Arabidopsis thaliana: one gene and its partners. The protein of the gene in region 3 interacts with the protein of the main gene of each other region in a biochemical or structural test. Each region holds a gene or a part of one and is shown on either strand. Other genes may lie near its edges.

What was found. The genes of interacting proteins can lie anywhere in the genome.
Region 1: the proteins of AT5G61200 (region 3) and RPL24A form a complex in vitro, tested with the Arabidopsis thaliana proteins (one study listed by BioGRID).
Region 2: the proteins of AT5G61200 (region 3) and EIF3A form a complex in vitro, tested with the Arabidopsis thaliana proteins (one study listed by BioGRID).

What each region holds. Positions count from the first base shown.
Region 1 is NC_003071.7:15,348,619-15,354,434, reverse strand, and holds RPL24A (ribosomal protein L24), read left to right. Parts: upstream 1-2,421; 5' UTR 2,422-2,615; coding exon 2,616-2,626; intron 2,627-3,112; coding exon 3,113-3,188; intron 3,189-3,297; coding exon 3,298-3,399; intron 3,400-3,487; coding exon 3,488-3,636; intron 3,637-3,730; coding exon 3,731-3,887; 3' UTR 3,888-4,167; downstream 4,168-5,816. Other genes in the region: AT2G36630 (Sulfite exporter TauE/SafE family protein), read left to right, coding at 14-276, 362-410, 493-548, 623-709, 793-843, 930-1,169, 1,261-1,354, 1,445-1,668; HB22 (homeobox protein 22), read right to left, coding at 4,347-4,424, 4,510-4,904, 5,024-5,108. UniProt on the Arabidopsis thaliana protein: Might have an extraribosomal function in reinitiation of translation.
Region 2 is NC_003075.7:6,945,827-6,954,849, reverse strand, and holds EIF3A (eukaryotic translation initiation factor 3A), read left to right. Parts: upstream 1-2,370; 5' UTR 2,371-2,476; intron 2,477-2,739; 5' UTR 2,740-2,796; coding exon 2,797-2,842; intron 2,843-2,948; coding exon 2,949-3,430; intron 3,431-3,518; coding exon 3,519-3,734; intron 3,735-3,867; coding exon 3,868-4,236; intron 4,237-4,324; coding exon 4,325-4,354; intron 4,355-4,443; coding exon 4,444-4,671; intron 4,672-4,786; coding exon 4,787-4,948; intron 4,949-5,064; coding exon 5,065-5,286; intron 5,287-5,376; coding exon 5,377-5,583; intron 5,584-5,664; coding exon 5,665-5,871; intron 5,872-5,960; coding exon 5,961-6,041; intron 6,042-6,197; coding exon 6,198-6,399; intron 6,400-6,504; coding exon 6,505-7,016; 3' UTR 7,017-7,374; downstream 7,375-9,023. Other genes in the region: AT4G11430 (hydroxyproline-rich glycoprotein family protein), read right to left, coding at 608-1,237, 2,022-2,051; AT4G11410 (NAD(P)-binding Rossmann-fold superfamily protein), read left to right, coding at 7,664-7,769, 8,017-8,248, 8,347-8,426, 8,559-8,712, 8,806-8,884, 8,984-9,023. UniProt on the Arabidopsis thaliana protein: RNA-binding component of the eukaryotic translation initiation factor 3 (eIF-3) complex, which is involved in protein synthesis of a specialized repertoire of mRNAs and, together with other initiation factors, stimulates binding of mRNA and methionyl-tRNAi to the 40S ribosome.
Region 3 is NC_003076.8:24,616,624-24,623,166, reverse strand, and holds AT5G61200 (myosin heavy chain-like protein), read right to left. Parts: upstream 3,024-6,543; 5' UTR 2,849-3,023; intron 2,782-2,848; exon of another isoform or gene 2,750-2,781; 5' UTR 2,712-2,749; coding exon 2,595-2,711; intron 2,499-2,594; coding exon 2,439-2,498; intron 2,353-2,438; coding exon 2,250-2,352; exon of another isoform or gene 2,171-2,249; coding exon 1,506-2,170; intron 1,405-1,505; coding exon 1,237-1,404; coding exon of another isoform or gene 1,144-1,236; exon of another isoform or gene 1,143-1,143; coding exon 1,086-1,142; 3' UTR 501-1,085; downstream 1-500. Other genes in the region: AT5G61190 (putative endonuclease or glycosyl hydrolase with C2H2-type zinc finger domain-containing protein), read right to left, coding at 3,281-3,503, 3,617-4,035, 4,188-4,514, 4,594-4,813, 4,896-5,194, 5,315-5,473, 5,554-5,745, 5,850-5,984 and 1 more.

The sequences.
Region 1 (5,816 bases), on a different chromosome or scaffold from region 3:
TTGGTGGTGAAAGGTATGATAATGGGAGCATCAGCATCATCAGTTTGGTACAATGTACGAGTTCGTCATCCGACAAAAGAAGTACCAATCTTAGATTATGATCTTGCTCTTCTCTTTCAACCAATGCTTCTTCTCGGTATCACTGTTGGTGTTTCTCTCAGTGTTGTGTTCCCTTATTGGCTCATTACTGTCCTCATCATCATTCTTTTCGTCGGTACTTCTTCGAGATCTTTTTTTAAAGGCATTGAGATGTGGAAGGAAGAGACATTGTTAAAGGTTAGTTTTATCTTCCATCATAAGTTGTGGCTTTTATGTTGTGTGAGTGTGATACTGAATGTTTTATGTGGCTTTTCTTAAACAGAACGAAATGGCGCAGCAACGAGCTAATATGGTTAATTCCCGGGGAGAACGTGTGTAAAGCTTCATACTTTTGATTCCTTTAGTCATGTTTCTTGATCTTAAACTGACCACATTGTTGATTCTCTTGTTCAGTTTTAATCGATACAGAGTATGAGCCGCTTTACCCGAGAGAAGAAAAATCAGAGCTGGTAAGAGTGTATGCAAGATGATTTTCTTAACTTATTGGCTCTTCAGACTTGCATAAAGATTTAAAAACTTACAGGAAATAATACGCTCCAACCTCAAATGGAAAGGGCTTCTAATTCTAGTAACTGTGTGGTTGACTTTCTTGCTCATTCAAATTGTCAAGGCAAGTAATCTTCTTCTTCGTCTAAGCATTCTCAATAATCTTTATGTTGAGCTCTCATCAATGGAACTCGTGGGTTTATACAGAACGAAATAAAGGTCTGCAGCACAATATATTGGATACTATTCATCGTACAGGTAACATATATATGTCGCAGATAACCTTTGATTATGTTTTGTGCTCTCGCTAAATCAAGTCATTCGGAACAATTTTCCCTTTGTAGTTCCCAGTTGCTTTAGCGGTGTTTGGGTTTGAAGCAAGCAAATTGTATACAGCGAACAAAAAGAGGTTAAACAGTGGCAACACTGAATGTATCTGTGAAGCTACGATTGAGTGGACTCCTCTGAGTCTAATCTTCTGTGGTCTCTGTGGTCTCATTGGAGGTATCGTAGGTGGTCTCCTTGGATCCGGTGGTGGATTTGTTCTCGGGCCTTTGCTTCTTGAGATTGGAGTCATCCCACAGGTAAACACACCATCTTATCAGTATATATGATTGTAAAACCCATAATCATTCATCTTGTGTCTTTCATTTTTATCTAACGGTTAAAACACAGGTTGCTAGCGCAACAGCTACCTTTGTGATGATGTTTTCTTCGTCCTTATCCGTAGTCGAGTTCTATCTCCTCAAGAGATTCCCAATACCATACGGTAAGATCTCTAACACACAACATGAGATACATTTAGAAGTCGTAGCAGAATAAAAAGGAAACTGATGATTGACCTTTGTTTCATTGACAGCAATGTACTTGATTTCGGTATCGATTCTTGCCGGTTTTTGGGGACAATCCTTTATAAGAAAGCTCGTGGCGATCCTGAGAAGAGCTTCCATAATCGTTTTCGTTCTCTCAGGAGTCATTTGTGCAAGTGCTCTCACAATGGGAGTGATTGGGATAGAGAAGAGCATAAAGATGATACATAACCATGAATTCATGGGATTCTTAGGATTCTGCAGCAGTCAATGAATCAACCATCTATCTGAACAAAAATTTCAAGTGTTTTGTTTTCATTTACTGGACAATTTCGGTTGTCCAACACCATTATTGTGAGAAGTTATAAAATTAGATTGTTTTACTTGCAGTCCAAGTCATTTGTGCTCTGTTCTTGGTCAATACATAGTTGACCATCTTCAGAAATAGAGTTTGTCTAAATTGTTGTCATTGTGTTTTGCTTGTATTCAAACGTTGTATTATTATTTGCGAGACGATAGATAAAATAAAAATGGAAGTCTTTTTCTATTCACATCTTCAATGTAACTACAACAAGAAAACAGAACATGTTTTGGTAATCTTTCTAATTGGAGGAAGGAGGGCAATTGATTTGGACTTGGCTAAGATTGTTGAACAACAAAGGCAACTTTGAGACAGTTGACTAAAGAAAAAGACATCTTCAGACAAATCTAACCACAACATCGTCTTCCCACTTGAGTGATTAAATTTTATAAGCATTTAAGTATTGTGGTTCCAAAAGTTTTGTCAACCAATGATAAGAGAGATTGCAATGGAATGATTCGCGGATCATCTTGGTCCATATACCATTTTAGCCGTGAGTTTTTTTCTTGGAATTTATGTATAGTTTTGTGATATATTGTTCGTGGTTAAACGTCAAATTCGAAACAAACAAAAAATGATGCATGTGAGATATGGAAGTCCAAGCCAAACAACATTTGGTCCTATTAAGACTGTACTAACTATCATTTTTTATTTATTAGAGGCCATCAAATCTTTGTGTAATGGGTTTTTAACTAAAACATTTCTTTCATGGGCCAAGACATTTAATTTCGGCTAAAAGGCCCATTAAACTCCTCCAAAACTAGGGCTCAGGCGAATTCATCTGCCTTAAATAGATTCGTAATTCTAGAAAACAGATTTTTTAGGGTTTCAAGTGAAAAGAGTAATAGCGCGGCGGAGCCATGGTTCTCAAGTAATCAATCTCTTCTCTATATCTCTCTTCTCCATGCTTCTCTGTTCATAGGTTTACATTGTTGCTAATGATCCATGTGAATATTGCTACTGTTGAAAATGCCAATTTGCTAAAATGAGCTTCTTTTGGTTCAAATCTGTTTATTTCCCGATCAGAAATGTCTGCAAATTGTGATTTTCTGGTACGAGATATGGCTTGTGTTCGGCAATAACTAGATCTTATTGTTTCCCTTCACTTTGCAACATTTTTGTTTGTAATTCTGTACATTGAATTAATTGTGTTTGGTCTCTGTTTCAAATCATTGTGACTCTTGTGAATCGTATTGTTTCTCTCATTGGGCAGATATCTAATTAGCCATTTACTAGTTCTGCTTTTAGGACATTGTAAAATGAGATGGCTTTGAATGTGTGTCCTGTGACTGTTTGTGATTGTGACCAGGGTTGGTTTTGGATTATCACTAAACCATTGATTATCTTTGTATTGTAGGACTGAGCTTTGCCGATTCAGTGGCCAGAAAATTTACCCTGGTAGAGGGATCAGATTTATCCGATCGGACTCTCAGGTACTTTATTTTGGTTAAATGTGTGCTCTACTTGTTAAGAAGAGTCTTATCTGTTGTTACTATGTATCTGTATTGATTAAATCATCTTTGGTTTTTATGGTTGTATTAGGTGTTTTTGTTTCTCAACTCCAAATGTAAGAGGTATTTCCACAACAAGTTGAAGCCATCTAAGCTTTGCTGGACTGCTATGTACCGAAAGCAGCACAAGAAGGTAATGTTTCTTTTTTTAGTTGCTTCTTGTTTTCATGATTTAGTACTATTGAATTCTGTTGTGATCTTTGTTTTCTCTCTTCTTACAGGACGCAGCACAAGAGGCTGTGAAGAGAAGGAGACGTGCAACTAAGAAGCCTTACTCAAGGTCGATTGTCGGTGCTACTTTGGAGGTTATTCAGAAGAAGCGAGCAGAGAAGCCTGAAGTTCGTGATGCCGCTAGAGAAGCTGCCCTACGGTTTGTTTCTTTCCCGAAGACAGTCACTATATACATCAATTTTTTTTTGAAACTGAAATGTGATTGATTCAAAGCTAATCTGATGATTATGCAGTGAGATCAAGGAGAGAATCAAGAAGACCAAGGACGAGAAGAAGGCAAAGAAGGTCGAGTATGCATCAAAGCAACAGAAGTCACAAGTGAAGGGAAATATCCCCAAGAGTGCTGCACCCAAGGCTGCTAAGATGGGTGGTGGTGGAGGCAGACGTTGAATGGAGCTATAGAGTAGCCCACTCTTCTCTCTTCACTTATCTTTCTTTCTTGTTTTGACATTGTTTTGTTTTGTCAGCCATTTTTTAGTTTTGCACCAGATCTAATATATTCAGTTTATGAAAACTTTTTGTTTGGTATCAATCCCCTTGTGTTTTACTCGTAGATCCAAAAACTGCTAAATAGAATTTTCAACTTGGCTTATTCTAGGACATTATTAGTGGTCTGAGCTAAATTGAGCTTTGGTTAAGCATTGATTATGGATCTAGAGTTCTTGAATCACGATGTTTCTTCATTAACTTCAACTTAGTAAAGAACCCTTTACACGAAAATCACTTAAACAATACTTAATACAAAGGAAAACAGAATCAGCCATAGAAATTGTTGCTTGTTTGGGACTAAAGCTACAAATTTGAGCCATTTTGGAGATATAACTGAAGTGGAACTTATATACTATTGCCTCAGCTGCAGGCTTTTTCCCAGGTTTGTTTCTTCTTGCATGAACTATCCTCTCTTATCATTGATTTCAGTTGTATTAGCTGTTGAAACAAAGTGAAAGTAACTCAATGGATTGTAACTCGAAAGCTTATTTATTAAGTTAGTATTGATCACTGGAGTAATTACCTCTTCTTGTAGCAATTCCTTTTCTCTAGAGACAATATCAAACTCTTGTCTTAGTGATTCATAGAGATGCTCAAGTTGTTTGTTCTTCCACCTGGCTTTCCTGTTCTGGAACCAAACCGCAATCTGTCTCGGCTGCAGCCCCAGTTCTTTGGACAGCTTCATCTTCCTGTCCGGATTCAGCTTCATCTTCCTGTCCGGATTCAGCTTTATCTCTTCTTGGAAACTTCTCTCGAGGAACTTTAGCTGCTCGCTCGTCATCTTCTTTTTTTTCTTCTCCTGTCCATTAAAACTGTTGCTTTCTTCTCCATAGCCACTCTCTACCATTGCTAGAGGAACATGAAGTATATCTTGTTGTGCACCCATCATTGTACCTAAACATCTGTTGTCTTGGTTTCCTACAAATTCAATACAAGACAGAGAGAGACTTGTAAAGCGACATACAGTTGAGTGAATGATTAAGCATTAAGCATATAAACTAGCTCTACTAAAACCTAGTACTATGGATGCATGTTACCTGAAAAATGGTCAAAGTTATAGAAAGGAGAGATGAAGCTGGAAGAAGACGCGCCATCGATGAAGGAGCTGCTCCAATATTCCATCTTCTCTTCTTCTTTTTTTTTACCTCTTTTGTCTATCTCTGCTTACAACAATCACTTTCAAGAGACTATTTTTTACCTAAACAAGGAAATGAGCAACTTTGGGTGTTTGATATGGGTGTATCTTTATCACTATATGCATATGTTAGAACATGCAGGAACATTATATATAGATAAGTAAATGTGGTTGAAAACGCTAGGGCTTCTGTTTTTAACTTCGGGTAACTAATTGGTCACTATCAAGTAAGATAAATATATGTGTAAATGAATGGTTTCATTAGTCTGACCGGTAACAAATAGTACTCCGAACGATGAGGGTAAGAATAGGCGGTGTTGAGCAAATGCATTATACGATACAAAACGAGCTAAAAAAAGTTAATGGTGATTATTTAGTTTGAAATTTTTGTTAAAAATTGATTATTATTCTCATATTCTCACATGACCTTGTATGTTTCCATAAGTAAGATATTTACATAAGTAATAACGTAGGTATTTCGTATTATACGTGACCAATTAATGTGGATTTTAGTATATATAAAAGAATAAAATAAAATGAAAGTAATGTGAGTTGAGAAAGGAACAGTAAGAGTAAGAGATAGAGGTGAAAAAGAAAAGAGAGAATGGTCCAGATTCTACATTTGTACAAATGTCTATCACTTTCTCTACCTTAATTAACCAACCAATCTGACATATATGAATTCAAACTTCTAC
Region 2 (9,023 bases), on a different chromosome or scaffold from region 3:
TCTCTAAGCGGATGTTACTCGGTTAAAACAGTTCATGGTTTGAATGTGCTTTAGGTTCCTAATTAAAAGCTTTAGTTGTTGTGTAGATCTTGAATTACCTTTTCGTCGTTGTTGTCAAGGAATCAGAGATTCAATTGGTTAAGAATCAGTCGTGAGCAAATCAGTATGGTGATCTGCGATTGTCATTACGGTGAGAAACAGAAGATTTGATTGCTCGAACTTAGTTTTCCGGTGACGATCTAAAATTCATCGGAAGTTGGATCTCTTGCGGTGGAGGTTGTGAAATCAACATGTGTCGTAATCTCATCTTTACCGTCTGACGCGTCTTGTGATATGAAGATAGTTTGCTTTGCTGTCTCTTTTCTTTCTTTGGAGGGTTTAATCTTGGGTCTATCTTTGTGGACTATATATTCGTTTTGTTAGCTCTTAAAATATTGTCTTGTAAGAATACCTTGTGCCGTAGACTTTCGATCAATAAAAAAACATTTACGAGAAAAAAATATGGGTGAATTGCAAAACTAACTGTTTTTGATAATTTATTTAAGAAACTAACACTATAATATACAAAATGTAGAAACTAACACTAGAGGGTAGTAAACTTACTAAATTAGTCTTTTTGATTGGAGATGGTAGTGGTGGTGATGGTTGTGGCCGGCGGTGGTGGATGGAGTTGATGGTGGTCGGAAGTGTTGGTGATCGGTGTGGTGGTTGCCGGCGGTGGTGGTGGTGGCCGGTGGTGGTGGTGGCCGGTGGTGGTGGTGGTGACCGGCGGGGTGATGGTCGGCGGTGGTGGTGGTGGTGGTGGTGGTGGTGGTGGTGACCGGCGGTGGTGGTGGTGGCCGGCGGTGGTGGTGGTGACCGGCGGGGTGATGGTCGGCGGTGGTGGTGGTGGTGGTGGTGGTGGTGGTGGTGACCGGCGGTGGTGGTGGTGGCCGGTGGTGGTGATGGCCGACAGTGGTGGTGGCGGTGGTGGTGGTGGCCGAAGTTGGTGGTGGCCGGAGTTGGTGGTGGCCGGATTTGATGGTGGCCGACAGTGACGGTGACCGGTGTTGGTGGTGACCGGAATAGATGGTGGCCGAAGTTGGCGGTGATGGCCGGCGGTGGTGGCAGGCAGTGGTGGCCGGCGGTGGTGGCAGGCAGTGATGGCCGGCGGTGGTGACCGGTGGTGGTGACCGGTGGTGGCCGGCGGTGGTGACCGGCGGTGGTGGCCGGCGGTGGTGGCCAGCGGTGGTGGTTGCTACTGAAGGTATTGAGGCAACAAGGGCAAATTGAGTAATATTACATATAATACAGAGAATATTATAATTACATAGTTAGGATGGTTAGTTAGTGAATTATAGTTTTTTTGTTAGTTATTTCTGCAAATTTCCCAAAAAAATATATCAATTTCCACTAATTTTTTTTATGTACATGTTGGATTCTAGAAAATCAATGAATTTAACAAAACAAATTCATGATCATCGCACAAATTGGCTAAAATATTGTTGATTTTGGAATTGGATGGAAGGTTAATTGTAGATTATAACGGAATTTAAATTGTTTGAATCTTGGAGTAACTCAAAAATATAGATCAAAATGATTACATATGGCTATGTTCTATTGCAAATCGTGAGCGACAGTTCCGACAAAAAAAATACGTCGATAGTAAAATAATTCAAAAATAATCTGTTATATTAATTTTCCATCACATATTTCCAATGCCTTGCTTAAATATATATTTTGAACTGTATAATGTTCTTATACTCTTGTTACTTACCTAGTATAATTAAGAAAAAAACAGTTAAAAGTAAGCTAACAATCCCTATTTGTAATAGAAAAAATCATATTCAAATTTTCAATTTTTTTATATAAATGCAATAATCATAATTAATTTTTTTTATATGAATTTATAATTGCCCAATTATAAATATTAAAGCGGGTTAACACAATTATACTTTAAAAAAAATTTAATTGAATAACATCAGATTCTATATTACACTTTAAGTCATTAAAACTCTTTTGAAATCATAAACCAATAACACCCTTTTACAGTTGAATTTTTTACCTTTCATGATTTTATGTAAATCAATTGTTTTTTTGAAATGAATTTTTGTAGTGGCATTTTATGTAATATTTAATATGTTGTTGGCTATTTACTTAAATGTATGTTTAGTTAATAATATAGAAATATCAAAGTTAATTGCTAAAAATATTATTAAACAAAATATAGAGAGTATATTGTAAATGATAATTCGAAAATGAAATCCATAAATTTTGTTGATCTCAATTGAATCACATCCCAGTATTAGACAAATTGGGTTTTATAAACACTAAGAAGATAAAACGGGGTCATTTCGAAACCGTAAGAAAATAGGATGATTTCTGCAAATATGGGTAATATATATGTAGAACGATAATATTAATACCAGAAACCCTAGAGTTGCTTCCGCTTCGCTTCTCGTCTCTCTTATCAGTCTTCTCTTTTCACGGCTACAAGGTTAGTCCTAAGTTTCGGCTCTGTTCTTGCATCAGTGATTGGATCTCTACTGCCTTTTAATCAAATCTCATTGAATTGATCTGGGTTAGGGTTTGGGTCAGGTTATCGAATCTTTCTGTGTTATTTTGATTCTATGAAATGAATTTAGGGTTTGGGCAAGTTTTTTCTGGTCTATGTAGCTTCCATCCTTTTCTGAGATATCTGATTGGGTTTTTCGGATTCTGGTGATCTCTGTAACAAAATCGCTTCTCTGTGTTTTTCAGGCTAATTGAGAGTGTCCCTTGCGTTAGAGTTTGTTACTAGCTTTTTTCGTCTGAAACATGGCGAATTTTGCCAAACCAGAGAACGCGTTGAAGCGTGCTGATGGTAAGTTACGAAATGTTTTCGTTTTAACATCCATTTGGTCAAATGGATGTGGTTAGGGTGTGTATGAATTGAGATTGTGTTAAACACTTTTTTTTTGTGTGTGTAGAATTGATCAATGTTGGACAGAAACAAGATGCTCTTCAGGCGCTTCATGATCTCATTACTTCCAAGAGATACAGAGCTTGGCAGAAACCGCTTGAGAAGATCATGTTTAAGTATCTTGATCTTTGTGTTGACTTGAAGAGGGGTCGATTCGCTAAGGATGGATTGATTCAGTATCGTATTGTTTGCCAGCAAGTGAATGTCAGTTCCTTGGAGGAAGTTATCAAGCACTTCCTACATCTTGCTACTGACAAAGCTGAGCAAGCTCGGTCTCAGGCGGATGCCCTTGAGGAGGCTCTTGATGTTGATGACCTTGAAGCTGATAGGAAGCCTGAGGATTTACAGCTAAGTATTGTCAGTGGGGAGAAGGGAAAAGATAGGTCTGACCGTGAGTTGGTCACCCCATGGTTTAAGTTTCTGTGGGAGACATACAGGACAGTCCTTGAGATATTGCGAAACAACTCAAAGTTGGAAGCACTTTATGCGGTTTGTTTTCTTCTAGGTTAAGCTTATTGGTGATACCTCTGATTTTAAGTTGATTGAGATTGAAGACTTGTACTTTATAATCTTGTAGATGACAGCACATAAAGCCTTCCAGTTCTGTAAGCAGTACAAGCGAACAACAGAGTTCCGTAGGCTTTGTGAAATTATAAGAAATCATTTGGCAAACCTGAACAAGTACAGAGACCAAAGGGACCGACCTGACTTATCAGCCCCTGAGAGCTTGCAGCTGTATCTGGACACAAGGTTTGATCAGTTGAAAGTTGCTACTGAGCTTGGACTTTGGCAGGTGCGTTTTTGTTTTCTATGTGTATTTTTCTGATGCTACCTTCTCTATTCCATATTTAGTTTGGCTGTATATAGCTTATCCTCTGTATAATTACTGGAAATAAGTTAGTATGGTTCGTGATGTATCTTTGCAGGAAGCTTTTCGCTCTGTTGAAGATATCTATGGATTAATGTGCATGGTCAAAAAAACGCCCAAGTCATCTTTATTGATGGTTTATTATTCCAAATTGACTGAGATCTTCTGGATTTCTTCTAGCCATCTTTATCATGCTTATGCATGGTTTAAGCTGTTTAGTCTGCAGAAAAATTTCAACAAGAATTTAAGCCAAAAGGATTTGCAGCTAATAGCGTCATCTGTTGTCTTGGCGGCATTGTCCATTCCACCATTTGATCGGGCTCAGAGCGCATCCCATATGGAACTTGAAAATGAGAAAGAACGCAATTTGAGGATGGCTAACCTCATTGGATTCAATCTTGAACCTAAATTTGAGGGCAAAGATATGGTAACATAGGTTCTTATGTTGCTTCATTTTTATTTTGCGCCCTTTCTTTCTGGTTTAGTATTCTAATTCCATTTCCTTCCTGTTTCAGCTTTCCCGGTCAGCTCTTCTGTCAGAGCTGGTGAGTCTCTAGCTGTTACCCTGTCTGTGGTTTAGAATATTTGTCGACTTACAAATATCTGATTTGGAGGCTGATTTTTATGCAATTAGGTTTCAAAAGGTGTTTTGAGCTGTGCATCTCAGGAGGTCAAAGATCTTTTCCATGTTTTGGAGCATGAATTTCACCCACTTGATCTTGGCTCCAAGATTCAGCCTTTGCTGGAAAAGATTTCCAAATCTGGTGGGAAACTGTCCTCAGCTCCTTCTTTACCAGAAGTGCAACTTTCCCAATATGTTCCTTCTCTGGAGAAGCTTGCTACTCTGAGGCTACTTCAACAGGTAAGCCTTGTTCTCTATGTTGTAGGTCAATACCCATTCAACCATTTTGGATTTTTCTGGTGGTTTATCCCTTTTTCTGCATACTAAATGTTCTATGTTCCGATTTTATTTTCAGGTGTCTAAGATTTATCAGACAATAAGAATTGAGAGTTTATCTCAGTTGGTACCCTTCTTTCAATTCTCAGAGGTAGAGAAGATTTCTGTTGATGCTGTGAAGAACAATTTTGTTGCCATGAAAGTTGATCACATGAAGGGTGTTGTAATTTTTGGAAATTTGGTAAGCCTCTGTTAAAGCTTCAGCTCAACACTGATTATATCATATGTAGTTGAGTAATATAATTTTTAACTTATTGACTAAATACTAATCTATTTGATCAACTGTTTGTATATTAGGGTATTGAGTCTGATGGACTGAGGGATCATCTGGCTGTTTTTGCCGAGTCTTTGAGCAAAGTAAGAGCTATGCTGTATCCTGTCCCAAGTAAAGCATCAAAACTAGCTGGCGTTATACCAAATTTAGCAGATACTGTTGAGAAAGAGCACAAAAGACTGCTTGCTCGTAAATCAATCATTGAAAAGAGGAAGGAGGATCAAGAGCGTCAGCAACTAGAAATGGTAGTTACTTTTCCATGGTTATTTGCACAGCTCTCCTTTTACGCTGTACCTGTTTATGAAAATTCCTTTATTTGATGTTTACTTTTGAAGGAACGTGAAGAGGAGCAGAAACGGCTTAAGCTTCAGAAGCTAACTGAAGAGGCAGAACAAAAGAGACTTGCAGCAGAGCTTGCAGAGAGAAGAAAACAAAGAATCCTTAGAGAGATAGAGGAGAAGGAGCTTGAAGAAGCCCAAGCTTTACTGGAAGAGACAGAGAAGCGCATGAAAAAGGGAAAGAAGAAGCCACTTTTAGACGGAGTAAGTTTACCAATATGTTAGCTATTATATAGTTCACTGATTAACTTATTACTAATGTCGGTTGGGTTAAACTAAATATAGGAGAAGGTGACAAAGCAATCTGTGAAGGAAAGGGCCTTAACTGAGCAGCTCAAGGAAAGGCAAGAAATGGAGAAGAAGCTTCAAAAGCTTGCCAAAACGATGGATTATTTGGAAAGAGCAAAGAGAGAAGAGGCTGCTCCATTGATTGAAGCTGCATATCAGCGAAGACTGGTAGAGGAAAGAGAGTTTTATGAGCGTGAACAACAGGTACTTACTGTTTCAGTAGTTTTTCTTTTCTTACAACTTGGTTCTGTGTTGGAAGTATATGAGGTCTTAAAAGCTCTTCTCCTATGCAGCGTGAAGTTGAACTCAGTAAAGAGCGTCATGAGAGTGACTTGAAGGAGAAGAACAGGTTGTCCAGAATGTTGGGTAATAAGGTCAGTCTTTGACATGTCATGTTGTTTCTCTTAATGTTCATCTTTGATCTGAATCTCTTTTCGTTATTGAATTAATTTTAAAGCTCTCTAGTTTCTTACATTTTTCCTGTAACTTTTCCTTCCAATGTACTTATAATCGAATCTTTCTGTGCCCAGGAAATATTCCAAGCACAAGTGATTAGTCGTCGACAAGCAGAGTTTGACAGAATCAGGACGGAGAGAGAGGAGCGTATCAGTAAAATAATCCGAGAGAAGAAGCAAGAAAGGGATATCAAGAGGAAGCAGATATATTATTTGAAAATTGAAGAAGAAAGGATTAGGAAGCTGCAGGAAGAAGAGGAAGCTCGCAAGCAGGAAGGTGTGGACTTGCTTCCATAAATCCACATCATTTTGACTTTGATATTGAAGTTTTTCTTAATAACCCCTTGTTTCTGTTTATTTTTTGGGTTTTCCTCTAATGTAGAAGCTGAGAGGCTCAAGAAGGTAGAAGCTGAACGCAAAGCAAACTTGGATAAAGCTTTTGAGAAGCAAAGGCAGAGAGAGATAGAGCTGGAAGAGAAAAGTAGGCGGGAACGAGAAGAGCTGTTGAGAGGAACTAATGCACCACCTGCTCGCCTTGCAGAGCCTACTGTTACTCCTGTTGGAACTACCGCACCAGCAGCAGCAGCAGCAGCAGCAGGAGCACCAGCAGCACCTTATGTTCCGAAGTGGAAGCGCCAGACTACTGAGGTCTCAGGCCCATCAGCACCAACATCATCAGAAACTGACCGACGGTCCAACCGTGGGCCGCCTCCCGGAGATGACCACTGGGGAAGCAACAGAGGAGCCGCTCAGAATACTGACCGGTGGACTAGTAATAGGGAAAGATCTGGACCTCCAGCTGAAGGAGGAGACCGTTGGGGTTCTGGTCCTAGAGGCAGTGATGATCGCCGATCCACATTTGGAAGCTCCAGGCCCAGGCCAACACAGCGTTGAGTAATAATAATTTTTTTGGTCTCAATCTCCATGGGAATGAATGAAAAAGGTTATCTCTGGATTTTCAACATCACAGCACTCTTCTTTAGCCCAAACCTGTCTCTTCTTCTTTTGAAGATTGCTCATCTTTTATAAGTTTTTATGAAAGATTTTAAAACATGTTAGACTCGTTTTTTGCTCTACACACCCAGAGAGAGTTGTTATTTCCTTCTTCGGTTGGATCTTTCTTTGTTTGTCCAATTTATTTCCAACTTTCTGCTGTAAAAACCTTTGACATTGATCAGCTTCTCTTTCAAGCAAACTTTTTGTTAATTGCTTATTATTAGTTTATGAAGAACAATAAACGAATACCAAATTTCACATTTAACAACATTTGTATCAAAAATGTAAATAGTGTATACAAACATCTTTATTCTTATCTCTGGATTAAGGAAGAAAACAAATGAAACTGTAATTAATACTTTTATACGAGATTCTTCAGTGCCTTGTTTTGAGAACAGAGCATGGGCACATTGCAAAAGCTCTCGGAAAAAGAAATTTTATAATTGGTCAACTTTACTAGGGTGTGTGTTTGATCATCAGCTAGCGTTGGTTTGGTTGAGATTAGACTTTAATTTTGTGGTACAGAAGATAGAAACAAAACAAACATGTGGCCTTTTTGGTGGAAAGGAGCATCTGGGTTCTCTGCTCGTTCCACAGCTGAAGAAGTCACTCATGGAATCGATGGTACTGGTCTCACTGCTATCGTCACAGGTCCTCTTCTTCTTCTTCTTCTTCTTCTTCTTCTTCTTCTTCGTGCAGATGTTTTCAACTTTTTTATGATCTATGTTCAGTCTATAGTTTAATTTCTTGGTTTTGATCCTGCCCTTGAACTCAAGTTGTTGTTGGTATCTGTTAATGGACTAAAGGATTAAACTTTATCAGGCTTGTTAAGAACACATCTTGAAGCAAAGGAGAAGATTTTGCTGGTTTTTGATGTATATGTTTTATTTGATTTCAGGAGCATCAAGTGGTATTGGGGAAGAGACTACTCGTGTTCTTGCTCTTCGTGGTGTTCATGTTGTAATGGCGGTAAGGAATACAGATTCTGGTAATCAAGTCAGAGATAAGATACTTAAGGAAATACCTCAGGCTAAGATTGATGTAATGAAGTTGGATCTTAGCTCTATGGCTTCTGTCAGGAGCTTTGCATCAGAGTATCAGTCTTTGGACCTTCCCTTGAATCTTCTCATGTAAAGTCTCTCTAAGTTTGTAGTTTGTTTCAGTAATTGCTGGATTAGTGAATGTTAATATGTGTTAGTCGGCTTAATCTTTGTTCTTGTTTTTGTAGCAATAATGCGGGGATTATGGCATGTCCCTTCTTGCTTTCTAGCGACAACATTGAATTACAGTTTGCAACCAATCATTTGGGTATGTTTAGTTTAGAAGAACTTATGATCTCCTCCCTTTTTGCTTCTTTGTTTGAACTTTTGCTTCATCGTTTGAAGTATGATGAGGAACATTTTCTATGTTATAAGGTTTATGTTTTGTACAATGCTTCAGGTCATTTTCTGTTGACAAACCTTCTTTTGGAGAGGATGAAGAAAACAGCTAGTGAAAGCAATAGAGAAGGAAGAATTGTTATTGTCTCATCAGAAGGTCATCGATTTGCTTACCGGGAAGGTGTTCAGTTTGACAAAATAAATGATGAAGCAAGGTGATTGTTATGTGATAGTATTGTTTATTACTTTTGAGTTCTAGTGTAGTAAACTAATAACATACTGCTATTGCTCTCACTGTTTCTCTACAGGTACAATACTTTGCAAGCATATGGTCAGTCAAAGCTCGGTAACATCTTGCACGCTACTGAGCTCGCTAGGCTATTCAAGGTAAGATAGTATTTCGCAGTTGATTCGTAGTCAATTCCAAAGGTCAAAGAGAAAGCTAGAGGAGTTAGGTTTGGTTCATCTTTGTTTTGCTTAAAACAGGAACAAGGTGTGAATATCACTGCTAATTCACTTCATCCTG
Region 3 (6,543 bases):
AAAAGTAAAAAGTAACTACTTTCTAACGAAAATAGAGCAATTTAGATCTTTTTAATTGTATATAGGACGTAATTGTGGATATAATAAACGTAGTTGGATTTTTTCTTACAGAGAAAGAGTCATTTTCTTATATTTTTCTAATTTCTGCTTCTTTTTTTGTACTGATGGTTTAGTTGATAAATTGTATGAGCCCAAAAAGAATGGGTAAGTTGTCAATTTTGTCATCCAAAAAGAATGGTCTTTGTTGAATTTGTCAAAGAGAACATATTTTCGCCCAAAACCAAAAACTACTTGAAGATAGAAAATTGTTTGACAATATCTATGGATATGATCATGCCTAATTTATCTCATTAATTTTTATTTGTTACCGGTTACATTGATAACGACTACAACAAAATCTTGATGTCCTAGTAGATACGATATTTCAACATATCATTTTGGTGAAGAACAAGTTGGAATATGTTTTTGCTTAAAGTCAAGTTGGATTAGGTTAGACAACAAATCTACAAGTGTCTTGATTAACAATAAAGACAACAGGTTCTTTTCCTTGACCCATTCATTTATCCCTTTGCATCAACAACAAGGTTACTAGACTCTGCACATACATGATGATACAACAACGCTTCCAGATTTCTTTATTTTCACAAGAAAAAGAAGAACAATAAAAGAGAGAAAAACGGGCCATCAAATAAACTCAGCCTTATTGACCTAGGCTCATTACAGGCCTATCAAATAGAGTCAAATAGTAAGAATCTTCTTGGTCAACGACCACAGCTTTCAACATTCTCTAGAGACTCATGTCAATTTCTCAAGATCTCTACATGTTGCTGAAGGCGTAATTAAACACTTAGAAGCCACATGAAGAAGCAGTTTTTTTTTTTGGTAGGCACATGAAGAAGCAGTTTCACTCTTGTAAAACTCAATTTCCATATATAAACATAATCACAGGGATGAAATCTATATTCCAATTTCCAATCAAATTGGATTATGTACACTTTAAATACATAAGAATTCAAACCTTATAGCTTAAAGGCTTATTTGAGGCATTAACTGTGATTTCAAGTTTAACTCGAACCTTAGCTGGTTTATACAGCAGGAAGAGGAACTAAGCAAGTTGAGGACTTGTTCTTCTCTCTCTTGATCTTAACAAGAAAATGGATATTTGTTAGGTTCCTTCAACAATATCTGATGGCTCAAAAAAAATAAAAAAATTGGAAGATATAAAGAAGCAAGTACCTGTGCTTCTAGATTGGCTATTCTTTGTAATGATGCTTGTTCGATGCATGCACGCCGCTTGCATTCTTCCTCCAATAAACATGTCATTTCATATCTTAATTCAGCCATTTCTTGTGTTAAGTCCTCTGCTTCTTCCTTGGCCTTTAGTTTCTCTTCTTTCAACTCATCCTTAGGCATAACAAAATAATGGTTTAACTAGTTAGAATATGTGTGACGCTGCAAAAAGGCACCAAATTTTTGATTCTACTGTTTTGTTTGGTAACTAATACCTTGAGCTGCTTTACAAGATCTTTGTATTGAAGTATCTGTCTTGCCATATCTTCCATTTTGTCTCTCAGTTTCCCATCCTGGAAAACCTCTAATTTCTTGATGATGTCATGGAAACAATCTGGATTTACAGGCGCTTCACTTTCACTTTCCAACCTTCCTCTAAAGCTTTGACGTAAGTCTTTGATATTCCTTTCAGAGGCTACACATCTCTCCATCAGCTCCTTGTTTTGCTTCTCTAAACACTCAGCATTCTCTTCTGCCTCTCGAGAGTTCAACCGTAGCTCCTTGACTATTTCTCTTAACTTATCGTTTTCTTGGATGCTTTCACCTTGAAATTTCTGAGCATCAAAGAGCGCCTGCTCCAACGCTACTATATCAAGTTTTATGCTTTCTATCTCACACTGAGACTCCAATGTTAAGGATGAGACCGACTCCTCCAGCTTCTCAACAGAAAACAAAGAAAACTGTAGCTCAGTTTCTGTGCTCTCCAGTTCTTGCAACAACAATAGCTGCTCAGATTTCGACGAACACAACTCCTCCCTCAAATAGTTAACTTCTTCTTCCAATTTCCCTGATTTAGTTACTCTGACTTCAAGATCGAGTACATGTTCACTCAGGTCGTTCATTTCCTGGCTTCTGAAGTTTACTTGATCCCGCAAATAATCTGAAAGACAAAGAAAGTGTTTTTTAGCTCATATAAAATATATGCCTAGATTTCAGTTTCATGAGAATCTCTCCATTACCAATCTCCTGGTAGCAATTCAACAATTCTTTCTCCAACATCTGAATTCTTCTCTTATCTTCTAAACGAGACTCTGACAACGAATTCGCATTCAGTTCCAACCTCTAGGGTAAAAAAAAAAAAGACAACAAATCTCAGAAAAAGTTTGAACAATCAATTCACTAGTCTAAAACACACAAGAGGAACATACTCTGACAAGTTCAACACTCTGTGACTGAGATTCTCTAAGCATCTCCTTTTCTCTCCGTAGCTACAATTACAATGAAAACATGAGATCATAAAGCCAAAAATATGAACTTCATCAATCTCTGAGACAAAGGATATAGAGAAAGAAAAACAGATTCACCTCCATACATCTTGAACCAATCTGTAAAAGTTCGTCAGCATCAAACGAGTTGTCAACATCGCTTCTTGAACTACTTCCCGAGCTATCTCGCGAGCTACTTCCCCAATTACTCGACATTAAAAAAGACTAACAAATTTACACACAAGAGCTGAAAACTGGACCAAGAATACGAGTCATTAGCGACCAGAGACTATAAGAAAAAGAAAGAAAAACACATTCCGACGAACACAAGCATAGTCGTAGGAAAGCTTTACCTGGCCGGTGAAGAGTAATATTCCGACGACAATACTTGAACTGAATTTTCCAGTTTCCTTTTTATCTGCTTTAATTTAAACAAGAGAAGGAAGATCCGGATGGGTCGGGCCGGGTCGGATAAGTAATCAGGGTGGCCCAGTTGAGCTGTAGTCGTAAAGCAAATAATGCAATTTTTGATGATTACATTACAGACTAAGCCGAAAATTCTGTTGGAAAAACCGGTCGTTATTTCCCAATTTATTGAGAGAACCTATATACTACAATGCCTAAATTCTATTGTTCTTGAATCTTTTTTAAGAGGTAAAGTTTATATATAAGAAACAACAGTAAGAAATAAGCAAAAGCCAATCCAAAATAAAACGTTAATCTGCCATTCAAAAGAAAACATCCATTGTTGACAACTTAAACATGAATTAACAATTCACATTATTTTAATATTTTTTCCCCCAAAGGCGAGTCCAAAAGTTATCAGCTTGGCCCTTAATCTCTTCCCTTTTGGCAGCCTCTCCAGGAAGATCCTTGCGTCCTCCAGACTTGTTTTCGGCTTCCTGTGCTTTTGGTTCGGGTTTATGCTTCTGCTCATCTTCCAAATTCTTGGCCACATTCACGTTTGGTGGCAGTTTTACTCTCTCAGGAATCACATCTAAACATCCTCTGTAACCCAAAATCCAAGCAACCAGTTAGACACACACATATTGATCGAGATTCAAGAGAAAGAGAGAGAGAGAGAGACCATATTATACACTCCCATGAATGTTGGCTCTTACCTCGGTTCATTGGGTATTCTAGACTCTCGATTCTGTTCAGTGAAGACACGGTGCACCAAGTTCTCAGATACGGTGTGTCTCTCCTTCAGTTCCACTTTATCTTCTGGTGCCCCTCGAAACCCAAGATCATCCATCTTTACAAGTGTCTGCTCCTCTGTTGCTTCTTTTTCTTGATCGGTTTCTTCTCGGATTATCCTTGAGTCAATACTGAACTGCTCCAGTGCTTCTCTATGTTTTTCTTGGTTCAATTCCACTTTATCTTCTGGTGCCCCTCGAAACCCATTACCATCCATCTTTACAAGTGTCTGCTCCTTTGTTGCTTCTTTTTCTTGGTCGGTGTCTTCTCGGATTGTCCTTGAGTCAACAATACTGAACTGCTCCAATGCGGAGACATGCTCAAATGCGGAGACAAATGCCTTCTACATCGATATTTTAGTTAAGGTCTAATATATACTTCATCACTTTCGATAGGAATCAAACCTAAGGATATTATTTTTACTAAGATTTGTAATATTCATTACTAAAAGCAGATTCCAAGTTCACGAAAGAAAACCTAAATAGTAAGATTTACCTCTACAAGCTCCTTCGCCATGGTATAATGGTTCTGACTCTTCAGTTGAGAATCAAATGTGGTTTGGTTTTTGCATGATACTTTCTTCGTTTTTTCTCCATAATCTTTAGAAAGCTTGCCTGGTCCAGTAGACATAGTTTCGTTCTTGGCTGATTGTGATTCCAAGTTCTGTCGGTGTTTTTTCCCATATGTGTGACTTGCAAATGCAACCTTGCTGTTGCAGCTGATCTGGCAGACTTGGCACCACACGGGCTGCAAACCCTCTGGTTCCTTCAAAGGATTGGTTGAAACGCTGGACTGAGAACCATTGCTGGCTACAAAGGCGGCCTACATCAAAAATAAGAAGTCAGAAGGGTTTGATATTGATCAAGGATAAAGAGGTAGAACATGAAGTAAGTGTCACTACAGTAGTATGTTTTTGGTTCGGCCAATGAGCTTTGTTATCACAAACAACTGTTGACAAACCCCGGCTATCACAAATCACTACGCAAAGATGACAAAGTTTAGATGCAGCTGGTCTTGCATGGCGTACGGTCACCTCGATTTTCTTCTTCTTTACCTCCCATGAATGCTTAGTTTCTCCTTTGGAAAGGTTTACAGGCTTGACAATGCCATCAAAACATTCACTATGACAAAAGTTGGAGAATACATTTAGATAATTGCATCTTTGACATACTAAGCAAGCAAATCCAAGTTAGCAAAAATTACCTTGCTTCCCTGGGTACTTCAAAATCAGATCTTAGGTCACCAAAGAAAAATTCTCCATTTGGAATCTGTTTGTTAAGAGTCTCCACCCAGTCCTTAGTACTTGGAAGAGGTTCTTTTACACTGCTTTCTAAAGTGCCACAAATCTTTCTCAACTCTTCGTTTTGCTTCTCAAAGAATTTGGTATGCTCTTGAGTGTTTTGAGACTGCGACTGAGGTTCGGCTATTGATTCTATTGGTTGAGCTTTTTCTTGGGCATCTTTCTCTTCAAGCTTACTCGCATTGATGAGTACCTGATGCAACTATATAAGCTTCATTCTTTATATATTTTACCACAGTTAAGACTCTCATATTCAGCATATGTTTTGCTACACTGGAAATTGTAAATTAAAATACCAAATTACCAATATTAAGAAACTGACCTCTGATTGATTCACCATGACAACATGCTTTTCGAAACACTTGCTATTCTCTTGAGCGTTTTGAGACTGCAACTGTGGCTCTACAATTGTTTCTCTTGGTTGTTCTTTTTCTCCGAAACCTTTCTCTTGAAGCTTCTTAGAATCAATGAGTGCCTGATCCTACGGTATTACATAAAGCATATGTCTACCACACTGTAGTTTTTTATATGCTCTCAAATATGCAAAAGTAAGAGACATGCCTTTGATTGATTCAGATTGGCAGCGTGCTTCTGACCCCTTAGATGAGTTTCAAAGACAATTGGACTGTGGCACCCCACATTGCACATACGACAAATGTATTTAGCACTTGCATTACGCAGTGCAGTCATTTCTTTTGGTTGACCCTTTACTTCATCACCTTTCTCTGGAAGCTTCTTAGAATCAACTAGTACCTAATCCAAAGCTATAATATCAGGCATATGTTTTACCAAACTGCCAACTTATCGATGTTAATAAAAATTCCATATAATCGAATAGCCAAAAGTTAGAAACTTGCCTCTAATTGATTCACCATGGGAACCTGCTTCTCTTGAGCCTTTTGAGACTGCAACTGAAGCTCTGCAACTGTTTCACTTGGTTGTTCTTTTTCTCCGACTCCTTTCTCTTGAAGCTTTGTAGAAACAATGAGTGCCTGATCCAATGCTTTTAGGTCAGGCATATGTTTTACCAAGCTGTCAAATTTTCTATTGCTATAAATTAACAAGTTCTCGAATAACCAAAAGTTAGAAACTTGCCTCTGATTGACTCAGCATGTTGGCATGCTTCTTACCGCGCAGATGAGAATTAAAGACAATCTGACTCTGGCACACCACATTGCACATAAGACAAACGAATTCAGCGTTTGCCTGAGCTCTACTCTCAATCATCACCTTCTTATTCATATTATGTTTCTCTAGAACCTCTTTGGAAGGCTCAGCTGGTCCCACCAAAATGTTTTTGGACTTACCTGATTGCAGTTCCAAATTGTTTCGGTGTTTTTTTCCATAGGTGTGATTTTTATATGTATCATTGTTGGTAAAGCTGATCTGGCAAACTTTGCACAACAAAGGTTCGACAAGAACTGCTTGATGTATGGGTTTGGCTGAAACGCTGGCCTGAGCTCTGCGACTTTCTACAATGGCAGCCTGCACAAAGAATTCAAACAATTTTTTTTCTATTCCTTCTAGCTACCATACAATTTCATCTTCAAG